2 linked regions of the Caenorhabditis elegans genome follow. The main gene of each other region encodes a partner of the protein of the gene in region 2 in a complex. Each region holds a gene or a part of one and is shown on either strand. Other genes may lie near its edges.

What was found. Proteins that work in one complex are often made in the same cells at the same time.
Region 1: ncbp-2 (region 2) and ncbp-1 share a complex: the UniProt entries of both Caenorhabditis elegans proteins name them as parts of the nuclear cap-binding complex.

What each region holds. Positions count from the first base shown.
Region 1 is NC_003279.8:6,419,251-6,428,388, reverse strand, and holds ncbp-1 (Nuclear cap-binding protein subunit 1), read right to left. Parts: upstream 6,332-9,138; 5' UTR 6,284-6,331; coding exon 6,259-6,283; intron 6,203-6,258; coding exon 6,108-6,202; intron 6,063-6,107; coding exon 5,547-6,062; intron 5,498-5,546; coding exon 5,228-5,497; intron 5,117-5,227; coding exon 4,894-5,116; intron 4,801-4,893; coding exon 4,683-4,800; intron 4,640-4,682; coding exon 4,561-4,639; intron 4,511-4,560; coding exon 4,357-4,510; intron 4,314-4,356; coding exon 4,109-4,313; intron 3,793-4,108; coding exon 3,592-3,792; intron 3,545-3,591; coding exon 3,403-3,544; intron 3,358-3,402; coding exon 3,235-3,357; intron 3,187-3,234; coding exon 3,055-3,186; intron 2,950-3,054; coding exon 2,836-2,949; 3' UTR 2,597-2,835; downstream 1-2,596. Other genes in the region: lron-6 (eLRR (extracellular Leucine-Rich Repeat) ONly), read left to right, coding at 181-318, 367-575, 753-895, 1,068-1,217, 1,259-1,552, 1,695-1,834, 1,881-2,017, 2,361-2,596; rbx-2 (RING-box protein 2), read left to right, coding at 6,540-6,589, 6,644-6,768, 7,377-7,540. UniProt on the Caenorhabditis elegans protein: Component of the cap-binding complex (CBC), which binds cotranscriptionally to the 5'-cap of pre-mRNAs and is involved in various processes such as pre-mRNA splicing and RNA-mediated gene silencing (RNAi).
Region 2 is NC_003279.8:7,640,318-7,646,611, forward strand, and holds ncbp-2 (Nuclear cap-binding protein subunit 2), read right to left. Parts: upstream 3,012-6,294; 5' UTR 2,925-3,011; coding exon 2,856-2,924; intron 2,763-2,855; coding exon 2,581-2,762; intron 2,487-2,580; coding exon 2,278-2,486; intron 2,175-2,277; coding exon 2,158-2,174; 3' UTR 2,140-2,157; downstream 1-2,139. Other genes in the region: F26A3.1 (Lipid droplet-associated hydrolase), read right to left, coding at 108-232, 279-462, 510-617, 663-898, 1,067-1,249, 1,300-1,450; rrf-1 (RNA-directed RNA polymerase), read right to left, coding at 3,323-3,483, 3,531-3,650, 3,701-3,950, 4,255-4,781, 4,834-4,969, 5,022-5,201, 5,247-5,518, 5,564-5,765 and 1 more. UniProt on the Caenorhabditis elegans protein: Component of the cap-binding complex (CBC), which binds co-transcriptionally to the 5' cap of pre-mRNAs and is involved in various processes such as pre-mRNA splicing and RNA-mediated gene silencing (RNAi).

The sequences.
Region 1 (9,138 bases), 1.2 Mb from region 2:
AAGCTTCCGAAAATTATAATCTTTGATTGTGAGGAGAAATATGTATACTCGAAAGTTCAACCTTAAAACTATTTTTTTTTTCAAAATTATTCTGAGACAGCTTTGTGCATTCTGTGGCAAAATCACTGTTAACTTCCAAAAATCTCGCAGTTTTATCAAAAACTTATCTAGTAATTGTAGTCTGACACATTCATTCCTTCTTGGTTCATGCTCCAAAACCGTCACATCTCTTACATTTCAACACTATCACAAATTATATGATTCAATTGATTTTGGAGAATGCTTTCCAAGATTGGCATCGTTCCAAGTAGTATTATTGTAAGTTTTTTTTCTAATAACTATAGTTTTCGAAAACTATGATTTCAGGCAGCGAACCAAAGCAAATTTCCATGGATCTTTGCGAAATCTAAAGAATTTGAAAGTATTGTCACTTGTGAATGTGGATTTTGACTTTTGGTTGCAACCATCTCCATTTATCAATACAATTACATATATTCATATTGAAAACTCTTCAATTACTGAACTACCAAAATGGTTGTCTACCAGTAAATCTTTATCAACAGTTTATCTCAAAGGTATGTGCTTAAAATATCGGACTGTACAGAATATCTGCATGCAAGGATATTCTGTACATATTCTGAAGAACATAATAATATATGCTCGAGCTGAAACTTTGTTTATTTTCAATTGAAAAATTTGGAGAGCTGCTCAACATTTGCTTGTCAGATTGCGAAAAAAATACAAACGTTTAGGAACCTCAATCTCATCTCTAACTCCAGTTGCTCAACTTCCAGCCGTGAAAAGTTTGAAATTATCTCACAACTTGATTGAAAACCTTCATCGACTTCTTTTCGTTTCTCCGTTTTTGATTCACGTGGATCTCAGTTATAACCAGGTCAGCTTATTTCAATTAGACATTCCACAATGACGTTTCCCTCGCCTCCTCTTCCGGAAAACGCTTTTGAAAATAAAGAAATGAAAATTGCACACTCCAATAAGGCGCTAGGAAGGCGAGTGAGATGCGCCCCGCAACGCCTCAAGAGGAGAAAAGTCAAAAAAGTTTCCAGATAACATCATTTGCATCTCACACTTTCAGTAAATGCATTGATCTCCGTGTACTTGATCTGACAGGGAATCCAATTAAAATGCTCCCTTACAAGCCATTTGCAAAGAATATAAAATTGAAATGGCTCAAGTTAAGCAGAACCAATATTACTGTAAGTTTTCCGAGAATATCCCCACAAAAAAACATTTTCAGACGCTAACACCTGATCATTTCTATGGTTTGAATGCTCTGAAAACTCTTTCACTTTCCCGAATGCCAATTCAATCGATATCTCCCTATTCATTTGTTCCATTGAAATCTCTTCGTTATCTTGATATGGACTCGTGTAATCTTACAAAAATACCTCAAGCAGTTACTGCAAACTGTCATTTGGCACGTTTGAATGTGGCAAATAATATGTTACATAGAAGTTCTTCTATGCCTCCCGAAGTGATGGCTATGTTGAGTGGTCTGTCACAACTAAGAATTGAAGGAAATCCATTGACGGTTTGTTTTGCTCGGGGGTTTATAGCTCAAATAATATCCAAAAATATTAATCATGAAAATGCACATCTCTTATTTACGGGGTTCCCTAGCCTTTGTGAGGTTGAATTCATGCGATTTTTCTGATTAATTCTCGTTTTCACAGGAATTCCCAGCCTCATTTTTACTCATCTCTCGTGAAAACTTCCGTCTCCTTCGTCAACTTCTCCACTCAACAATGACTCTTCCCGTTTGGCTCCGCGAGCCATGTACTCCATACTATTGGTCAATGCACCTAGCAAATCGGTAACATAACCAAATTAGGATTGAATCCTAAAAAAACTTTTTTGAGAACCAATAATCTAAAGTCATTTGTAAATCAATATAGTGAGATGAGAATGTTAAAAAGCGGACTGGGTTACTGTAAGGAGCAATATGACTGGATGTTGGAACAAATGGAAGTTTATAGAGAATTAGAGAAGAATTCCGGTGAGAATCTTTTATTTTATGTCCAACCTCATTTTTTTAATTGAAATTTTCGAATTTCGACCCAAAAAACTGGCACGAGAGAAATCGTTCAGCTACAGTAATCCTTTATTTTTTTCAAATTTCTCTTTATAGTTGACATGGTTTTGATAATTTCGTAAATAAATGCAACTTTTCAACAAAAAATATTGAAAATTTAGAGATAGACGATAACAATTTTCGAAATATGGTAGGATACGGTAGCTGAATAGTTTCGTTCGTGCCAGGACCTAACGTCATGAATGCGTCTACATTTCAATTCAAAAAAAAACCACTATGTAATACGTGGATTCATAATATTTTTCAGGATGCTATTCTCTTCGACGTCTTCGTTCTTCTTTATCTTCAAAACCTGTCCCAAAAATTTCGAAAAACTCTACGAATTCTCTAATTCTCTCAATTCCTCATGATCTATCATCCCCCGCCTTTCATATTCCAATTCTTTTATTAATATCTTTATGTGCAAACTTTTTGTTACTTTTTTCGATTCTTATGTGTTCTATCATGGCGTGTCGAATGGAAAAAGGTGTGGATAGTGTTTGAACGGATCGATTAATTTTATTAAATAGAATAAATAAATGACCTGGTAAAACATGTAATGAAACACAACAAGAAACAAACGGAGATTGGGAGTTTAATATTGATAAAATAAACATGGTTCCGGGGACTTAAAGTCCATATTTATGATGAACCCGGACTGGGATCGTAGAGATTTTGAAGAGATTGGTTGAGAAAAATAACAGGAAATTTGAAATTGGACAAGATTAAAGTATATGACTCATTTAAAGACGAAGAGACTGGAATTGGTTGAAGCATTCAATAATGCTAGGATCGGTTCCTTCAGAGAAAACTTCATCAGCGATGTTACTCGAGTGCTTCAACAGTGTTTCCGCGTGCTGAAAAATATTTCATATAAAAATATATCAAAAACGGAGACCATTCTTTAATGTTTCACATTTTTAAGATTGTTCTAGCCGACTCGAAACGAGTATAAAACTTACAGCTAGCAAAACGTGACAGAATCTTCCACGGAGCCACATGAATTTAGGTGTTTGAGTTCCTGGTGTATCCCCAGAACCATCCATCTCGGATGTGTTGGACGTGGCCGCGTTTTTTATTTCTTCAATGAATGCCTAAAATTGAAATATTTACTAGAGATAATACATCTTGAAGCAACTTACTATTAAGAAATCATTGAAAAGACCCTTTTGGAAAGTGACCATTCTTTCTAATTTCTCTTTATTGTTCTCCAAATCTTCGAGATCTTGTTTGAATTTTTCTTCTTTGGTTTCATCTTCATCCATCTATAAAAAAGGGATCTTATTATATAATTCTCTCTAAATAAATACCTTAATATCAGACTCTTCATCATCCTCCTCTTTGATCTTATTCTCTGTTTTCTCAGTCAGCTCTTTTATGTCTTTTTCGACAACATTAATCTGTCGTGTGAGCTTTTCCAATGCTTGATTGAGCACTTCGAACAACCATTGTCTGAATATTTTCGGTTAGAGAAAGTTTTGGAGTATGTGAAAGTGTACCTGTCATGTTCTTGCCACATTTTCTCGTCGAATAGCCAACCAACAACGGCTGAACAATCGATTACTTGCATTTTAAGAAGCTTATCAGTAAGGATCATCAACATCTGTTGATTCGTTTTCCAGCACGAATAAAGTGTTTCCAGTAGCTTCTCTTGATAAAGTTCTGATGCGTCACAGACAGTTTTCAGAGTGGTTTGGTATCTGAAATGAATAAAAACTTTGTTGATTTTTAGGATTACATTCGAAACAGGGACGGTAATCGAAAATTATCGAGATCAAAAAATTTGAAAAAAACTTGAAAATTCGCAACAACGAATTACTACTGTAGTACTGTATTTTCTCTAATAATATTGCACCCCCACTACTTTGAAAGGTTATAACTCTCTTCGTTTCGAAAATATCAACAAATAATTAAATAAAGACGATACAAAATTAATTTTTAAAAAAGTGTGCAGTTAACAATTTTTGAGTATACACAATATTATAACTATCAATTCGTATTATCTAAATAACTAACCTGAATAGAGCTGAGAAGTTGTGTGAATAAGTCTTCGATGCCATTTTGAGCATAACCATTACGAAAAGACCGAATTCATTAATGTTATATGGCAATTCGTCATTTTCATCATTTGATTTAAGCTCATTGAGGAATGCTTCAGCTGGCTGACGTTCTTGGAACATTTGAGTGAATGTTTCCGCTCGTTGAACTAGTGCAGTGTCTTCTGAAATTACAAGTTTTGATTTTTCCAAAAAGTAGTTATTTACCTTCATCAATGAGATATCGAACTTCTGGAGAGCATGGATGAATCTTGACAAAATCTTGGGGCAATGCAGCGATAATTTTCTCATAAGATCCAAAACGACGACACTTTTCTATGACTTCTCGTACAAAGATTTGACTGCCGGAAAATGCATCTTTCTGCAAATATTACCGTGCAATGTTATGAACAATAGAAAATAAAAACATACATTCAAACAATCCTTCCAATCTGTCCAGGTGTATCGATATTGGAAATTAGAAAGATGGAAACTGAACCAATCAACCATTCTGTAAAATAAAATTGAAATATGAAATTTGAAATATAATTTACCTGTCAATACAAACTGGTTGCATTGAATCTGCGCGCCGATAGATACACTCAACAGTTTGAACAAGAATCTGTGGATAGTCGTCTGGTTTAAGCTTTAGCAGTTCGAGAACGAGAGAGCCTGAAAGAAAATATAATTTAGTTATTTGGATTCTACATTAAACCCCCGCTAAATCGAGGTTTAATGGACTTTTAATGAAGAATGTTGACTTACAATGAAATATTGCTGGATATGGGGCATGTGGTAGACGGAGCATTTGACCGAAAATAGTTTCGAAAATAAGGAATCCAATAGGAACAGATGGATTCTCTTCTGCGAAAGCGAGAAGTTCACGAGCACATGCTTTTCTATTAAATTGATTTTTTTCAATGATCCAAGCGATTTCACCTTCGAAGAGGAAACGATCTATTGAACTATCACCGGGAAGGGGTTTACTCTGAAAATTATAATAGACCCTTTGAAATAATTTTCAGTAAATAAAAAAGATATTTCCTTGCTTAAAAAGACAAATGAACGAACAGTTTAGACAGTTTCAATTTGCACTTACAGAAAAGGCGGAACAATCCGCGTCTTGAAACAGACGGAAAACGACCAGTGGATATGGATAAATCATATCCGAGGTATGTTCTGGAGATTGAAAACTTGGCAAATTATGTTGGAGGGCATCTTGAAGGGTGGTTTCAAAACCAGAATAATGTCGAGGAATGTGATTTTCAACCCAATCCGCATTACGAAGAGCTTCAATCTGAGCTGATAAACTTTCGAGATAATCTTCTTGTTTTTGATCTGTCGAGCCTTCCCGCCAAACTTGGAGAAGCTAAAAATATATTATTTTTAGTTATTAACAAGTTTAATATTAATCTTACCGCAACGTGATTTTTATTTCTCAACTCGAGATACTTTCCAATCGCTTCTCCAATATTCTCCATTTGCTCGGGAGCTTTTTCAGTCAATTCTTTACCAATCCATGGAAGACAACGAAGAACTGTTTGGATATAATAATCATTACGAACTTGAGGCATGTTTTCCTCAAAAGCAGCTGCAATGAAGCTCTCCAAATATTCTCCAATTGATTGAGCTGTGAGCACTCCAGAATTTCCAAGATCACAAAGGAAAATAGCAAGATTTTGAGCCTCTTGATATTTTTGTTTTGAAAGAAGATCTTGCTGCTCAGAAATTAATTTTTCTACGACGTCTCCTCCGAAATTGAAATTCTTTGAATTCAACAGACCAACTAGAGTTGTGTATACAGTAACACGATTTGGGAGATAGATGGCACATCCAGCAATAATATCAATAATTGAAGCCCGATATTTTTCGAGATCATCATGTAAAAAAGCTGTGAGTTTATCCAAATTGCATTCGATCGATGAGCCAGTATTCTATAACAACATATTTTGGTTGGAAATTGATGTTTTATGTCTTACCTCTCCAACTTTTCCGATGACTCCCTGCAGTTTTTTTTCTACATCTTCGATTAGTGGAGCCCCGCGACGTCTTTTCATTTGAACTTCATCCTCATCTGAAAATCATTTAATTTTTTTAAACAAGATTTAAACAATGCAGGAAGTAGCTTACCATCGAATTGCCTTCTCCGCGACATTTTCGTTGTTTTTCGAACAAAATCTGATTAAATCTCACTGGTTTTGCTTGAGAAATCGCAAAAAAATCCGATGGAAAATTCGAAATTGAATATATTCTAAACAAGGCGCGCGTGTGGAACAGCGCAGTGTCGTAGGTTACTGTCTGACATCTCTGCGCCTCTTCTTCTCAACGCCACTTCTGTTTATGCAGCAAAAAACAAAACCGGTCTTAAATTGCCAATAATTTCAATAAATCAATAAATTATTGCAAAAAAAATGAACAATTCAAGCAATGCAGATTCACAAGAAGGAAGTACGAGTGCTCAGTAAGTCAATTATTTCCATTTCAATTAAATTCTCGAAATATAAATTACTTTCAGAAAGCAAAAAACCGCGAATCCGTCTGAAAGTCGTCCTTTTGTGCTCAAAAAATGGAATGCGTTAGCTGTTTGGGCCTGGGATGTTGAATGTGACACATGTGCAATCTGCAGAGTACATTTAATGGGTAAATTTTATTTAATTCAGTGGTTAAAAAGTTGAATCGCTTCAAAAATATAACAAAACTTATTTTTTTGATATTTTGTGAGATAAAAATGTCGCAGATAATTTTATGATGGTTTTTGGTTTAAAAAAATTTTCAGTTTTTTCTCTAAAAAAACACAATTCTACAGAAATCTTCCATAATATTTCTCTACCCCTAAATATCATTACAAACTTACGAAAAAAAATATTTTGGAGCATTTCTAGAGGTCTTGAAAAAAGTGGAAAAATGCACTGAAAAAGTTCAGATCGACTTTTTACTAGTTCGAAGTGCTCATATGCAGCTAAATTTTTTTAGTGATATGTTCAAAAAGTATTCTTTTGAAAGATATATTTGTATTTAAAAGTTCAGGAACAAGCAAAAGTGCTTGCTTTGAAAGTAAAAAACACGCAAATTTTCGTGAACAGAATAGGTAATATACAACTATGTCGAAATTGAAATATATTGTCCTTTTTTTTTAGCTTGCAAATATATATTTAAAATCAACATTTTTTAAAAATATGCATAGGGAGCAGGAGATCCACACTACCAGAATGAGATTTAATCCAATAATTATGAACAACTTTTTTCAGAAGAGTGTCTTCGTTGTCAATCTGAACCAAGTGCTGAATGCTACGTAGTGTGGGGAGACTGTAATCATTCATTCCATCATTGTTGCATGACTCAGTGGATTCGACAGAACAACAGATGCCCACTGTGTCAAAAGGATTGGGTCGTCAGCCGCACGAGCAAATAATGTATCAATTATCTACTTTTACACGTTCTTTCCCAATTTACATGTAATTTTTCGACTCTTTTTCAAAAGAACTTTTGTCTGTAAATTGTCTCTTCACCCACTTCTTCCCTCTCCATTTTTCACCCCGTTCTCCACTTTGTTCCCATTCACAAAAATAATGACTGTAAATAAAAATTCACACACACACAGACGACATATACACGAATATGAACACAAAGAAGCAGAGCAATAGAAAAAATGATTCTGAAAATTTCAAAGAAAAACAAAAGACGCCAGCCGTGACATGGTCGATTGTCTGGCGGACTATACGAACAGATACTTCTAGATTTTACTGAAACTGAGATAGATATATTTAAGAATGAGTTCAGGTGAGAACATTTACAGTTTGAATATTTTATAGAAAATTATCCGAGTTTCCAGAGTTTTTCCACCGTCAAGGAGTCTTCAAACGTGTCCGTTCAGTGATAATTCGACCAAGTCAAAGTCCATCCACTTCAGTGACACGTGGAAATCTGACAAGAAGTTTCAGTGCTCGTGGAGATGCAGAAAAACGAAATAGAGCAATACTTCGAAGACAAGATGCAATTGATGATGATGATCAAGAGTGAGTCTGAAGAGTTCAGCAATGATATTATTTGATTTAATTGTCCCTTGGGTCTCACCGCGCTCCCTTCATAAAACAGTTATTTTGTGTGCGAGTCTGTAAGATTACTGTAGACATATGAGTAATTGTCTTCTACAACACAAGTGACTATAGTATTAAATGTTTTGCAAAAAAAAGTTGAAAAAATCGATCAAAATTTCCTACAGTAACTTCAAAGGGCGCGTGCAGAAATCTTTGTTCATACATGCAGCGCGCGTGGCGAGACCTTTTTAAACGAATGCGGCTCCTTGAAATCAATCGGCGAAGCAACCATATACAGTGTACAAAAGAGGGTTGAAAAAGTGATGTTTCTCATTTCTGTACCCAAAATCTTGAAATTTTAGTGCGTTTTGCCAACATTGGGCCTAACTTCTTCAAAAAAACGTTACTTTTTTATCTACTCCATGAGAAATTGAGAAGCAACATTTGGACTGAAAAGTTCGTGATTCCTAAAATTGATATTTTGTGAAAATAAACATTTTTAAATGCTTTTGTTCTTTGAAATTTCCAATACGTTACTTCTCTATTGTTTTATTGTTCTCATTGACCTGTTTAATAAACTACAAAGAATATAATAATGTTAGATATAAACGAAAACAATAAAATCTTCCTCATTCCCATTTCAATTGAACCATTTGTTTGAGTTCTGACTCATTTCCACCTTTTTTCCTCGATCACCATTCACAGAAAATTTAACCTCTTGGGAACTTGAATAGATTATCATCTGCCAAAAAAAGCCTCAATATATGGGAGCGGCATATCTCAAAGATTTTGTTAATTGGAATATTCTTGAATTTATCTACAATTGGCATTTTTGAAAGTATATTGGACTTGAAATTTTTTTTTGGAAGTTTTGTCTGAAGTGTCTCTATTTCGGATAGAATTTTGTGACGTTTTAAAAAAATAAAAAGTAATATCGAGTTTTTACAAAAAATCTTTATCAATTAGTCTATTC
Region 2 (6,294 bases):
AGAAAAGGAAAAACAATAAAATGTGCAAATATTTTTATATTTATTAAAAGATAAAATTCTAGGTAATGCAATCACAGGTTGAAGTACGGAAAACTCGGAGCAACTGATCAATCGAAATATTTTATAACATTTCTCGCCATAATGTCTCCTTCAGAAATAACAAAAGCGTGTTCACAATTGTCTTCGTCCAATGTGACCTGCTCCTCACCAAGTCTGTCCCGCATGGAGTATCCTATAAATTTTATTTTCAATCTACACAACGTTTTCAAGGTCAATACCATGCTGCACTGGACACCATCCATCCTTGAGGCCATAATAGAAATGAACCACGTCTTGTTTTTCCAAAAGACGCTCATCTAGGTCTAAAACGATATCAAGTTCATCGTTTGACATGTGAACTATATTTCTGAACACATCCATATGGACAAGCTCAACTGCCGCATCGACGATCTCTGGGGGAGTCTGAAAAATTATGTTTTTTGTTGCTTGACATTCAAAAAAAAATTTACATTAGGATGTCTCAGGTTCAATCCAACAAGAAATTTTTTGATCGAGTTTGGCAGGTAATCCACCCACCAGCAAATCGTTTTTGTGAGCCAATCATGATGGTTCAATGTCTGAAAGTTTACAATTAAAAATTAAAATAAAGAAATTGAATTTACAGCTAAAGTTCCATGTAATCGTTTCCCATTTGGTGAGTTTGCCATATGAACTATCGTTGGAAACAGTCCAACAGCTTTTTCCACGTGGAATCCTTCTTTTATCACTTCAGGAATGATTCTTAACATCATATACGAACCAATGCTATGCCCCAAAATGTACAGTTGCTTTCCACGTGGCAGGTGCTCTTTCACAAATGATAGTTTGTGATTGACTTGTTCCTCCAGAGAAATTCGGTCTGGAAATATATTATAATCGACGTAAAAACGCGCTCCGCACCGGATCCATGAGTCTCGTTAGGTATTTGAAAAAAAAACAAAAGGGCGAAAAATACTGCGAAATCGGCGAAACTAAATAAGTTAAAAGGCTGGAGTGAACGGTTCTTCGTTTTATTTGTATTTATTACCATGATTTCGATGTTCTCCATCATCTTTCAAATGATCTGGCATTCGAACATGATTGAGACTTGAAACTGTGTAGAATAAATATTGATTTTTCAAGTTTTTCTGCTCATCTTCATCTTTCTTTATCAAATTTTGCAAAACTTCTCGTCCGAAATGAGCGTAGAATCCTTCGTTTCCGGGATTTCCTGAAATTAAAATTTTCTTAAATTTTTAAAAGCGCAATTTCCCGATTTACCTGGAATCATTAAAATAATCACTCGATTCTCGTTCTCCTTTTTCTTCTGAATTTTCAGCGTTTCGTCTGAAATATCCAACCCCATGACGGACATTTTCGTCCATTTCCCTGCTACTCGAACCCATTCCACTTTTCGAAGAATTGAGGTCATCTATATGTAAATAAATAAGAAAAACTGGAAAAATGCGGTTAGAAAGAATGATATTGTGTTGGGAAATTTTCACCTGCCTCAATAATTATTTTTAAACATCTGTAAAAAATCGATGGAGGAAGATGGCTTTATCTCAAGTTTGGAGAAGAAAACACAAACAGAAAAATAAATAAAACGTTAAAACAAGATGGAAACAGAGATACCGTATATTCTCTATTAGTGCTGCATGCAGCACTAATTTCCAGGCCCTTTTTGAGTGCAGCACTATTAGAGACTGCAGTATTACTGGAGGCTGCAGCACTAATTTTCGAACGGCTATTTTCAATTGGAGATCACTAGTTTTTAGTCACAAATGCTCACCTTTTAAGCAGAAATCCATTAAAATTGTGAAATTTTGTAACAAAAATGACCTAATAACTCAATTATGTTTGTAAGTTAACTAGAAATCTTCAAAAATATACAAAACACTCCCCAGAATGTCAAAACTATGTATTGAGTGACTCTTTCAGTAGAAAATGGGGTGCAGCACTAATAGAGACTGCAGCACTAATTTTCGGACCCTTTTTGAGTGCAGCACTATTAGAGACTGCAGTACTACTGGAGATGCAGCACTAATAGAGAATATACGGTAATAATTTTCAGATTTTGTGATTTTTTTTGTTTGAAGAATGATGATTGAGGATCGTGTTGGATGGATTTGGAAACGATTATTGACGGTCACCGCCTGAAAAATGTAGAAGATTCATTTTTCTTAATAGTCACACGAATAAAAAAACCAATTTGAAACAACTTAAAACGATTTTTCCATTTTTTTTTATTCTGCTAACCTTTTTGAGCAATAGCGCGATTGTAGCCTCCTCTTTCTGGATCATAATCCTTTCGATACTCATCACGAACTTGTCCACCGTGTTTTCCTCTTCCATATTGACGTCCTTCAATGAATCCAGCATCCCAATCAGCACGAATTACACGATCATCCATACGAGTGTTTGAGATGTTCTGAAGAGCCAGCTCAGCGTCTTCTCTTGTGTAGTATCTGGAAATCAATAAATAAAAATAAAAATTAATTAAATTTTATTTGTTCGGGTTAAAAGTCCAGAGAAGCAATGAAAATCGCGGAAAAAACTCACTCGACAAAGCAGAATCCGCAAGGAGTTTTCTTGAATCTATCCAATCCCATGATCACTCTTCTGACGTCACCGGCTCTTCCAAACAGCTCATAGACTTGGTCTTCTTTAGTGTAATATGATAAATTTCCAACATAAAGTGTACATGATGTGCGTAGAGCAGTCTCCTGGTCTCGAACGGTTCCCTGAAATTGAGAACTACAAATTTGAATTCGTATTGTGCAACAACACCTTTTATTCGATAAAAACCCGAAAAGTTGTTAAAACAAAAGGCTTACCTGGTATCTTTGATCTCTGTAAGCACTAATTTCCTTAGGATTATCCAATGTTCTTGGATCGAAGACCATTTTAAAAGAAAGAACGAAGAAACAGACACACTCTTCAGCGAACAAAATTCGAAAAGAGAACGGAGTGTCGTAGCGCGTGTTGTTTAACTGAAACCCGAGGTTATTTGAATTTGGATTTTATCAACCCTCATTTAGCAGATATTGGATAACGAAATAACATTGGGAATATCGATTACGAAACGAAAATCTAAAATAAATAAATGTTTTATACCACGGAGAAAATATTTTAAAATTATTAATCAATCATTTGATGATGGAATTGGTCAGTTTACACACAAATACAAATGGTAGAAGGAATTAAAAATAAATAAAACAGAAAAAATAGTACAAGGTTTGAAAATGTAAGTGAAGAAAAAACATTAACAGAGTCTATGGCATATTTCAACAAAAATACGAGATTAAAATTCACCATTCATAACTTTTTGATAGCAAAGAGATGCCATCTGTTGTGATACTTCTTCTCCTTCCCAATGACTTTTGATTGGAATTGTAACTGCTGAAAGCTTTTTGAGCATTTGAATTGATTCGAGAGTTCCGGAGACGGAGACGATGTAACGAACTGAAAACAATTATTTTATGCTACCAATATGAAGAGTTTTTAATTACCTGTAGTCTTTGGTTTCGCCTTATCGTTTATCGGATTTTTCTCCTGTCGCCGCATCTTTACAGTTGAAACATTTGTGTGTTTCTTCATATTATTGATCAGATCATTCACATTTATATTTTCTAAATGAAAAAAAACTCAATTTTTTTTATTTCCAAAAGATTTTACATACCGGGTAACTCGATAACAAATGGTTCACACTCTCGATCCATCGTCTCAGCTGTAATTGTTGGATCAGATGATACTGGAAGCTCTTCAAAACGTAGATTAAACAGAATATTGTAGTAGGTTTTGAGAGCTGATTCATGGAATATTCGCCATTCTCCACGCATAAAAATCGATGAGAAGTTGAGAGGACAAAAGGATAAAGTCGACATTTTTCTGAACTTCCGACATCCCATAAATTGGAAGAATTTGACCATCTGAAAAAAATACACAATTCGGCTTTGAATTTCTCGCCAATGTTGGACTACAAATCATACAGCTGAATGGACTTATGTCAACTTTGATGAATCGAAAATTCAAGTTTTTTTTGTTTTATATTCGGTAAAATTTCAACTTTTCTACAATTTCCTATAATTTCTCTATATATTTCAATGAATTTTTTATTTTTGTTATCAAAATATAGATGTTTATAGACAAAATTCAAAGGTTTCTCTTCTTTTTTCATACTTTTTCGAAGAAATCGAAAAATCGACGATGTTCGATGACCCCCTTATTCCTTACCATATCTGATCTTTTTTTTTCAGTAAGTGGATCGATATTGCCTCTCGATGAATCTCTTTTCTGTTTCTCATATTCTTCTTTTTCAATTATTTTGAAAAACGGTTCTGCATTTCCATCAGCAGATGCCAATTGTCGTGTTGCAAAAAGAATGAACATGAGGAAAAAGTGATAAATCTTGATTGGTTTTCCATCAAACAATCGTAATGATTCTCCCCATCGCATTAACATGAAGAACACAGAGTCCAACCCTGGTATCATCTCCAGATATATTTTCAGAATGGAAATCGCTTCTTTTGATTTTTCACCGGTAATTAGATGATCGAGTTCACAGAAGTTCTTGAAATCCGCATCGTGATCAATCAAATATTGTTTTCGATGCTCTTCTAGGAAAGTGTACATGGGATTTGCTCCACCAATCTGCATTCTTTCGTTATTCAATACATTAGTCTCCTTGACTTTGGCAATGACGTCATATGCAATCCAAGCAAATGAAAGCTTCCGAACTTCTCTCGTGGATTGAGCACACTCTACAAAGAAATTACAATAGTTCAAAAAATTGAAACAAAAAAATTGAATTACCGTAACAAGCTCGATACCAGGCAACAGCTTTCTTTCTGACCTCCTGATCTGGATCTTCGCAACGGTAATTGAGACAGTTGCCGTTATCGTAAGCATTTGGTAAAAGTGTACATTTTACTGTGAATCCACCAAATTCCTGATAATGGCATAGAAATTAAAAAATAAATAAATATTGAAATAAACTGTACCTCGAAGAACGTTTCTCTGAATTTGCACACTAAAGATGTCATTTTTGTTTCAATCATTTGATTAGTGTTGTAGAATGACATATCATCTTGGTCTTTATCCGAAATTCGATTTCTCATTTCGACAATGCATCCTGACATGATTTCACCTTCCGACCGGATACCGTAGTTTTCCATAATAGACTGTAAAATTTGGGTATTTAAACTTTACTCAGCCTTCAAACTAACCCTGAGTTGTCCGTTGTAACTGGATAATTGTTTTTGAGCACTTTCCATATATCTCTCAAAACCAGTAACAAAGATAGTCTCATCCAGTTCAATATTATATTGTTCATCCCTTTCTTCAGAGATCTTGATAACATTGTCAATTGCTTGAAACTCTCGGAATAGTTTTCCACAAAGCCTTGGACTGACATACATCGGACTTCGTTCATTTCCCATATGAAAGTCAGGAATTCGCTCAGGATTTTCAGGAGGGATAACTTCGAATGTTACGGGATCTGAAAATAGGTAGTTACACCATATTCATGAATACGCATACGTACCGGCCCTCCATTTCGTTTCCAATGGATCTGGTGGTTGTCCAGACTTTGTGAAATCAACAGCTTGGCAATTCTTCTTTGCCAAATCCATACAAACTCTCGAATTCAGCCCATATTGGTCAGAATTGTGAAGATGACTGTTCGAGATTTGTCCAACGGAGTCTAATTTCAGATATGTGACATAAAACTCACGCATCAAGACGTCCTAAATTTGATATTACACCAAAGTTTAAAAAAAAAATGAACAAAAAAAAACTAACAAGCTTCTCTCTATCATATGGTACTTTAATCTTTTCAACAGCAAAATCGAAAGGTTCTTCATTTCTTTCAAGAAGTAATTCCTGATCCCAAATAACAGAATATTCATCTCCATCCAAATCGGATCCAGCCATTTCATCAGGATGAGGCCTCGGTCCATGTTGTGGGAATACTACTACATCACACATGTGATGAAGTTCTGGAATATCGACAGCCTCGAAAATCCGAACATCTCCGGGGACAATACAAGGGTTTTTAGTGAGCAAAACGGTTCCTGTGACAATCTCACTTCCATGAACTTTATTGTTGGAATCTCGCGGTGGAAGTTTTTTCTTGTAATTTTTCGTGTATTGAACGAAGATTTGTCCGTATTGTAAACGTCCAGTTTCATCAACTACTCCGAGCATAGATCGACCAAGTTCACTGGGAATTTGAATTTGCTCTTTGCAAAGCTGTTTCGCTGAAAATAATAAAAT